Linked DNA regions of Danio rerio. The protein of the gene in region 1 interacts with the protein of each later gene in a pairwise test. Links are inferred from orthologs where the notes say so. Each region holds a gene or a part of one and is shown on either strand. Other genes may lie near its edges.

Region 1 (4,253 bases):
ATAGTCGTTAAAAGAAACACTTCAATCAGTCATCTGTTTAAATGAAAATACACACATTGTCCCACCTGGTAAAATGATTACTGTTAGTTACAGGTTTGACAATTAAAGCTGTTAAAGCCATAAGTCAGAGATGCCCAAAGTAGGGCCCACGGGCCAAAGTTGGCCCATGGTAACCTTTGATTTGGCTCGCCATACCATCTGAATAGAGAGGGAGAATGATGGGGAGGTGGTGGGGCGGATGCTTTGGACAGAGATCGTCATTTTGAATTGAACGTAGTCTTTTGTTTCTTTGTTTTATTGCTGAGCTAAAAACCCCACCTGAAATTAAATGATAGGATTAAATGTTGTAAATGTTCACTTTTAAAATGTGAAAACTGTCTCTTGACACAGATAGAGGACAACGCACAAGTCTTCTACGAGCAAATCAAGGTGAGGGCAGGTGCAGCTTCACTGTATTCTCCTTTGAACTCCATTTAGTCATAAATAAGATTGTTTATGTTGTTACTCTATTAGTTCAGTATAAAATGTTACAATTTATACTGCGTTAGTTAATATGACTTAAAGCAACATTTTTAGGAATAAAACAAACAGTTCACCTCAGCCAAAAGTTAAAATGGGCTTTTAATTTACTCTCAGGTCTTTCATAGTGTCTTTTTTAGTTGAACTTTAAGGATGATTTAGCACAAAAGGTGGTCTTTGGTCATGCAAGGTCTTTTAGTATAAAAGAAACAAATAAATAACAAAAACCATGTAATTAAAATATATAAACAAATATTTATTTTCAATACTATTTATTGTATTATTTTAATTAGTCATTATTATATTATGCAATTAATATTTTATACCCACAATATTTAATATTTAAAAAGTGTCTTATATTACAAAAGCAGAAGGATTTCATATTATAGCCTACATTCGCATTGGAGTCCCTAGCACAAGAATGATCATATATGAGGGTCTTTTAAAGACTGAAAATCTTTGTCTTTGATTACTTATTGTTCTCATCAGTAAATGGTTTTAAACAAGTGTCTGTCAAAAGATTGACTGGAATTTTTTGTGATAGTACACTTTCACATGTGGATATTATTATATCAAATGTTAAACATATTGTTACTGTATTACCATTATTACTTAGACTACTTTTATTTCGGTTGTTGTTATAATAATGATTATTTATTGTAATAATCGTTGTTATAACTGTTTCAAATCTCTCTTTACTGGCACCACGTGGCTCCATAGTAAGTCTGGAGTGACGTCACAGAGGGGAGCCGTGCGCGAACACAGTGTGGGCGGAGTCAAGGCCAGGAAAAACGCCTTTTTATCCTTTTAAACGCGTCTGACATGCGCAGTGGTTTGAAATTCGGGCTTGGTCTGTTACACAACTGTGTCTTTCTTCATTCTGCCCACAGCTCCTCGCCGGCATTTTATATTAACAGGCTTTTAACTGTGTTATTTTAAAAACAAGACCCATAAAAATGAGTGGGGACCATTCCCACAACGATTCCCAGGTAAAGTGTTTGTGCTTTGTGGTTGTCAGTTATCTTTTTTCTTTCTTGATGCTTTGTAGTCACTAGCTCGGCTGTTTAAATTCCATCCGCAGCGGCAGTTTTCCACCAGCATGCTAAGCTAACAGACAGTGGAAGTCGGCTTTGATTGTGTTAATGGAGTATTTTCTATCACTCGCGGCTTTACTTTTAATAATGTCCCCTATCAAAGACTTCATTTTGGGAATACAAACTTTGTATGCTCTTCTGTCCCTCGCAGCGGTGGTATTTAAACGTTGTTGTATGAACAGGCTTGTTAGCTTGAGCGCTAACCGCCGACTAGCATCAAGTTGAAAGTTAGCAGCCTATTGACATGGCACGATTTAACATTAACTGTACACCACTGTTTTTCCGCAGATCGACTCGGGATCCAGACATAATGGTGAGTGGGATTCGTCTAATCGCCACGTTGTGATTAAAATACAATTTCATACGTTTTAAACCTCTAACGCTTGCTTGACGACCAGTTAGTTTTAAGGACAGAAATGGCGTCCCAGAGACTAAGTCCCCTCTCGCTCACTGACAAGCGCCTATTGTTCACATTGAGCCCTTTTAAAACGCTTTTACAATGCTTCAAAACCAACAAAAAATGTCTCTTTCGAAAGAGAAAGAGATTATTTGTCAGTTGGCGTCGTTTGAGCGTTTTTGGAAGATGGACAATAAGCAAACGAGGCTTGTGAAAGTGAGGTTTTGGGGGTTGAGGACTTAGTCTCTGCGCCATTTTCTTTTTCTCTGTCTAGCGGTCTGAGTGTAGTGAACGTTAAGTGCACATCGACGTGATTATGGAGGCGAAGGATTGAGAAACGTGGGTGACCTGTTCTGAATCCTCTCACCAAAATAAACATGTCGACCTCAAATACATCTTAAATCGATAAAATGTGATGAAATAAAACAAATGTTCACAAATCAAATCAGTAAGTAATTATTCAGGAATTGGCTATGATGCACGTTTTTTTTGTCTTGATGTGTGCTGTAATTAAATATGCGTAAAAAAAATTAAAAATTGCATCCAGATTTAGTAAACTTAAACGAACCGCTAATGAGGGATTTCATTGGTCCTAAACCTGATTTCACAGTGTCATTGGTCAGATCAGTTGGGTCATGCAGGTTCAAAACATGGTCATTCAGAGACATAAATTGTCAATTTACACAATTATAAATTGTTTGTTTTTACATAAAACTTATAATAAAACATTTTCTATATAGTTTTAACTTGCCATGGCATTAACTAAAGTACTTTAACACCTGACACATTTCTTTTGTCCATGCACCAAATGTCTGTTAACGTTTTAGGTCCATAACTTTACTATAACAAGTTCTTGTAAACCCGAGGTGGCAATGAAACAATAAAATGAAAAATACTTGACCTTTTTTTATACATTTTCAGTTTAAAAGATTTTAATACTTGTATATTATTTAATGCATTATGATCAGTTTAGTTGTTTTTATGTTAATGAGAAGAAATTTAAGAATGTAGTGCTTGCATTTGATCACATGATCTAACTGCATTATCTGTTAACCGTAAAGGAGTATTGATTGTGTATTGATAACATCTAGGCCTACCCAATATTGAAAAAACCTGATATTGTGATATTTTATGGTTCTGCAATTAAATATTGGTTTGAAGAGCTCTATTTGCTGGTTTTCTGGGGAGTCTAACAGTATTCACGTACAGAAATTGAATTATCACAATGCAAAAAAATGCTTTTCTTCCTTTGGTTCGTCTCATTTCTAGTCCAAATAGCAAAACCTTTTCAGTTCAAGTAAAAATATAGTTTTATTTTAAAATTTTAATTTATTAAAAAAAAAGTTTTTAAAGCTAAATTCTCTCAGTGGATAAAATCTTAACAAACAAGTAAAATCTTGTTTTTGTGTTGAAATTTATGTGTAAAAAAAAAAAAGTAAGAATTCTGTATAAATACAGTAATTAAATACAATTCTGTAGCCACTCGGTTAACTATAATCCAGACTCAACATTGCATGTCTTGAGATGTGAATATTGAGTATTAGCACATTGTGATATTGGTGCTGAAACGATATATTGCGCAGCCCTAGTAACATTTTAGTTCTCTGTGACACAAGAACTGATAATCAAGTGTGTAATCTATAAATTCATTTCCTTTTTTTTTAGGCCATTAGTAACATTTTGGTCACTGTCTATTATATATTGTTAGTAGTAGTTTTTTTATATATACTCAAATCGATATTAAAAACAATAATGGAAGTTCAAATATATTTTTCTTCCTTCGCTCCTTTTTTACCAAGCAAAATCACAGCTGAACTTGACAGCCAGCCATTATGCTGTTTTGTTGCACTTTGATAATTAATTTTTTGGCCAACTGGGAAATATGAGAGTTGGCAAATTATTTCTGCTTCAGTGTTTTAAAAGTGCCACAGAGTTTCCAAAATAAAAATAAAACCTACAATAATTATGCATGTAATCTCATGAAATATTTTTATTTCAAATCTTATTTTACCCTTTTCTCCGCTCCCTTCATCCCCATTTCTTACTCTGAGCATGATGCTTCTGGTGAATATTCTGCTTTCCTCCAGAGCGTTTATGAGCATTTAACCATTGCTGTGCTAATACATGAACTGCCTGTTCACACCATGCCACTGTGGTTGTCACTATAGGGAGATAAAAAAAAAGTAAATCAGTGTCTGTCACAAATAAAATTAGACTATTTAATAAACGGTGACACAGCGTGA
Region 2 (4,386 bases), on another chromosome or scaffold:
AATGGGACAAATGAGCTTCTTCGAACCACCTGAACCCACTCCTGGCTTTGGGCCTGAACTAAAAGACCAGTATTTGAAAGCATTACCCTTATTTCTTTTTAATTAATGAACTAAATAGGTCCCAGTGTGTGTGTATGTATATATATATATATATATATATATATATATATATATGTATATATATATATATATATATATATATATATATATATATATACATACATACATACATACATACACAGTATATACACAGTACTGGGAAACACCCATACTCATTCACACATACACTTATAAGTGTATGTGTGTGAATGAGTGAGTATACTGTTTCCCAGTACTGGGTTGCAGTTGGAAGGGCATCTGCTGTGTAAAACATATGCTGGATAAGTTGGCGATTCATTCCACTGTGGTGACTCCTGATGAATAAGGAGACTAAGCCGAAGCAAAATTAATTAATTAATTTGAATTATATGAACAATGGTATATTAATGGCGAGAAGGTCGCTGGTTTGAGCCTCGGCTGGGTCAGTTGGCGTTTCTGTGTGGAGTTTTACTGGAAGCTCGTGAAATGTAGGAGCAGCACTTTGTGTGGATATATCTGGGCAGTTTCCTTCTCTAACTGCATTTGCAAAGGCTCAAAGTGATTATACGGACTCCAGCTTCACGCCTTGGCTTTTTTTCACGCAGAAACGCCGCATCTGCGGCAGCTGTGAAGGTGTGACGTCATTGGCGCGCTCCTCCTGACGTCCGCTCGGGGGCGTCGTCGCGTTCACGAGCATTCATCATCTGTATATCTTTTTATTCTGTCACTTTCATGAATACACGGACACACAATACGGACAGTGAGCAAGGTAAACAGTGGATATAAGACAACAGACCATTTATTCATGTTATCCATCATCCTTTAGCATAGCCTTCAGTTGTTTCGTGGTACAACGAAGATGTGCTTTTATGAGGGAGACACAAAGGATTTCTGGATTACTCCATCTCCTACATTATAATGACTGTGCTCTGAACACTCTGCAGGACAATTACAAACCTCGCCGAGTTATGGAAATTGTTTATCAGTTTTATTTTTCATAATGAGACAGTTTGTGGTGTTTTAACACCACAGGCGTTTATGTACAAAACCATCAGATAAAATGTACTGCTGAAATAATAATAACAGTGTGTGCTATTCTGAATATAACTAATGTAGCGCATATGTGCATGTTTTCCTTAATTTATAGATAATTTCATTAACATTACATTATACCTCTGTTGTGTTTAGATGTAAAAAAACTTATTTAAATTATAAATAAAAACTAAACAATATATATATATAATATAAATACAAAATTCAATTAGTTATTACTATTTTATTAATAATAAATCTGACATAAAACTCCACACATGTGCCCTTCGGACCGGATGTTGACAGTGCGCGCGATTTGTTTACTCATTCAGCGGGTGCGCGCCTCGGTCCAAGATGGCTACAGGAGACAATAGCGGTCGGGTTCCGTGTTTAAATTTCTCGGTGCCCGGACCTTTGGGTAACAGTCAACCGAGCAACAGCCCTTTCGCATTGGCGGCGAGTCACGGAGGATCGGTCGGGGGCGGTGGAGGCTCTCAGGGGGTAACGAGACGCTCAAATCCTCAACCGGGGCCTCAGGCCCTTGAAAGCCCCGGTGTCGCGTCGGGACTTCCGCCGAACTTGATGAACGCTGTCCCGGCTGCCGCGGCGGTGGTGGGCCCGCTGGCTCCGGCCGCCTCGAACATGACAGGGAGCCCGTCTAACGCAGCGATGACACCGGCGGCCGCCACACACTCAGCCCTGTCCGCTCCACCAGCCGCTGCCGCCGTGCTTGTGTACCGGGAGCCTGTTTATAACTGGCAGGCGACGAAAAGCACCGTGAAAGAGAGATTTGCGTTTCTGTTCAATAATGAAGTACTGAGTGACGTTCACTTTCTAGTGGGTAAAGGAATGGGAGTCCAGCGGATACCTGCGCACAGGTGACTCTTTTAATACACTCATTGCTAAAGGGCTAAAGTTGGTTTTATTTTCGCACCTTCAGACTTTCCGCTTACTAACGCTAATATCATTTCAGAAATGTGTTGTTTGCGAATTCTAAATAGTGAAACATATTAGCAGACTATCAACGTACAGCATTGTTCACAGTCAATTAAATAGTGCTAATGCTGTTCTTAAGTCACACTTGCATACGATTTCAGTCCTAATATTCAAAGTAGGGGTGTAAACAATCTAAGTTAGGGGACCATGGCAAAGTTGTCGCTGTTCAAAAATGAATGAATGTGCGATTATTAAACCAACTTTAACGTTACCTCAATCTCTTTGTGGCAGAAAGTTAAATTAAATCTTATGTACTCACCTTCGTATCCTCCCGAACTGCATACTGGCTGTTTATCCGTGAAACACAAAAGGAAATGTTTCGCGGGATGTTCATGCGCACTTTCCAGCATAATAACAAATTTGGATGGGACTGTTGCTGTCGAGTTTTATAAACGGCATTATCTATCATAACACTGTCTCCTACAATATTTTACTAAGTCATTTTATGGCTTTTTTTGACCAAAGGATTAAGATTGACAACTTCTTTTGCTAAAAAAAATTCAGCTGGCAATCAAACATAACACGCACGCGCCTGGTCACGTGACACAGGAGAGCCAATAACATTGGTATTTTATAAAAACAAAGTGTGTGGTGTTCAGTTATTTATTTATTTACTACCTACGTTTTTGTGTAATTACTAAACTAGAAATCAAGTTAAGATATTAATTTGAAAGGCAAAAGTATACAAATACTGTTATAGTGTAAATATTATAGAGAGTTTTGTAATGAAATTTATTAAATGTTTTGTTTGTTACAGTTGAATTTATTATGGTAATTATAATTATTTGTCATATAATTACTAAAACAAATGTCTCATTTTATGCACGTCTTAAACGTTAAAACTTTAATGTAAATAATTAAAATTACTCTATAAATTCATCCCATTGTTGTTGCTTTTTACTTTATTAGCTGACATGGTTATATTATTTTTTCATCTGATTTTATAATGAATTTTTATTAGTATATACTATTATGCATTTAAAAAATGTCCTGTTTTTTACTTCATTAGCTGACATGTTCTCGTTTTCTTTAGATTTTCTCTTTCTGGTTTTGTTATTATCATTAAATTACGTTTACATTTTTAACTTGCATTTATTAAAAAGATAACAATTCAATGCTTATTTGCAATAGGGTATATGCCGAGCCAGTGTTGTTCCTATACTGATAATCGTCCGGTGACCTGCTATTGTGAGTTTTTTCCATTTTACATGGTTCCTTTTACAGCATGGATGTTGTAATGTAATTAAAATACATTCAGTTAAACAGACTTTGGCATTCATTTAGTTGCTCAAGCGTAAAACTAGACAAAAAGCTGTTTACTCGCACACACCTGTCAGAATCCACAGGTTAGTGCAGAAGCTCCATTGAATATACTGAGGCAAAATAAATGCTCATAAAGACATGCATGGGGGAAATGTAATTTAATGCAGTGCTTCTTGCACAATCTGAGACCCACTTTATATCAGATATCACTCAGGCAGTGGAGATTTTTAAAGAAACCATATCTTAAACGCACTAATTTTGCAGTGGCATTCAGTTCACCGGAATCAGTTAACCCAGGTTACTGGCAAATTAAAAGTCCTATTAGCATGCTTCGGCATATACCCTATTAAAATAGTATTTATTGAATACAAATATTATAAATGCATTATTTCTTGTACTTAAAAAGTATTCTAAATATCTAAAATCTAATGTTCTCTGTTGCAGGTTTGTTCTGGCGGTTGGCAGTGCAGTATTTGATGCCATGTTCAATGGAGGCATGGCCACCACGTCCACAGAGATCGAGCTCCCGGATGTAGAACCTGCTGCATTCCTTTCATTGCTTAAGTATGACATCTTATTTCCTTTTCGGCACGCATGCGTTACACTTTCCAGAAATATGCAGATCTTGTTTCTCCTCAGATTCCTGTACTCTGATGAAGTTCATATCGGACCCGAGACAGTGATGACGACTCTCTACACGGCTAAAAAATACGCTGTTCCGGCTCTAGAGGCACACTGTGTGGAGTTTCTGAAGAAGAACCTACGAGCGGATAATGCGTTCATGCTGCTTACACAAGTATGTTTTGTTAAGCATGTATTTATTACCCTTCATTTTGTGCAAATGGGGTATATGCCTAGTGAGCTGGTGTGTTTCCCATACTGATAAACCTCCGGTGACCTGTTATTGTGAGTTTTTTTCCATTTTATATGGTTGCTTTTACAGCATTAATGTTGTAATGTAATTAAAACACATTCAGTTAAACAGACTTTGGCATTTATTTAGTTGCTCAAGCGTAA

Evidence for each region.
Region 2: the proteins of top1a (region 1) and btbd2b interact in a two-hybrid assay, tested with the Homo sapiens proteins (2 studies listed by BioGRID). The link is inferred for Danio rerio from reciprocal best matches to the Homo sapiens genes TOP1 and BTBD2.

The regions. Positions count from the first base shown.
Region 1 is NC_133186.1:27,367,245-27,371,497, forward strand, and holds the start of top1a (DNA topoisomerase I, like), read left to right. Parts: upstream 1-1,355; 5' UTR 1,356-1,475; coding exon 1,476-1,508; intron 1,509-1,901; coding exon 1,902-1,926; intron 1,927-4,253. UniProt on the Homo sapiens protein: Releases the supercoiling and torsional tension of DNA introduced during the DNA replication and transcription by transiently cleaving and rejoining one strand of the DNA duplex.
Region 2 is NC_133177.1:60,990,597-60,994,982, reverse strand, and holds the start of btbd2b (BTB/POZ domain-containing protein 2), read left to right. Parts: upstream 1-1,440; 5' UTR 1,441-1,464; coding exon 1,465-1,988; intron 1,989-2,365; coding exon of another isoform or gene 2,366-2,456; exon of another isoform or gene 2,457-2,653; intron 2,654-3,813; coding exon 3,814-3,933; intron 3,934-4,008; coding exon 4,009-4,165; intron 4,166-4,386. Other genes in the region: protein unc-13 homolog A, read right to left, coding at 2,366-2,456.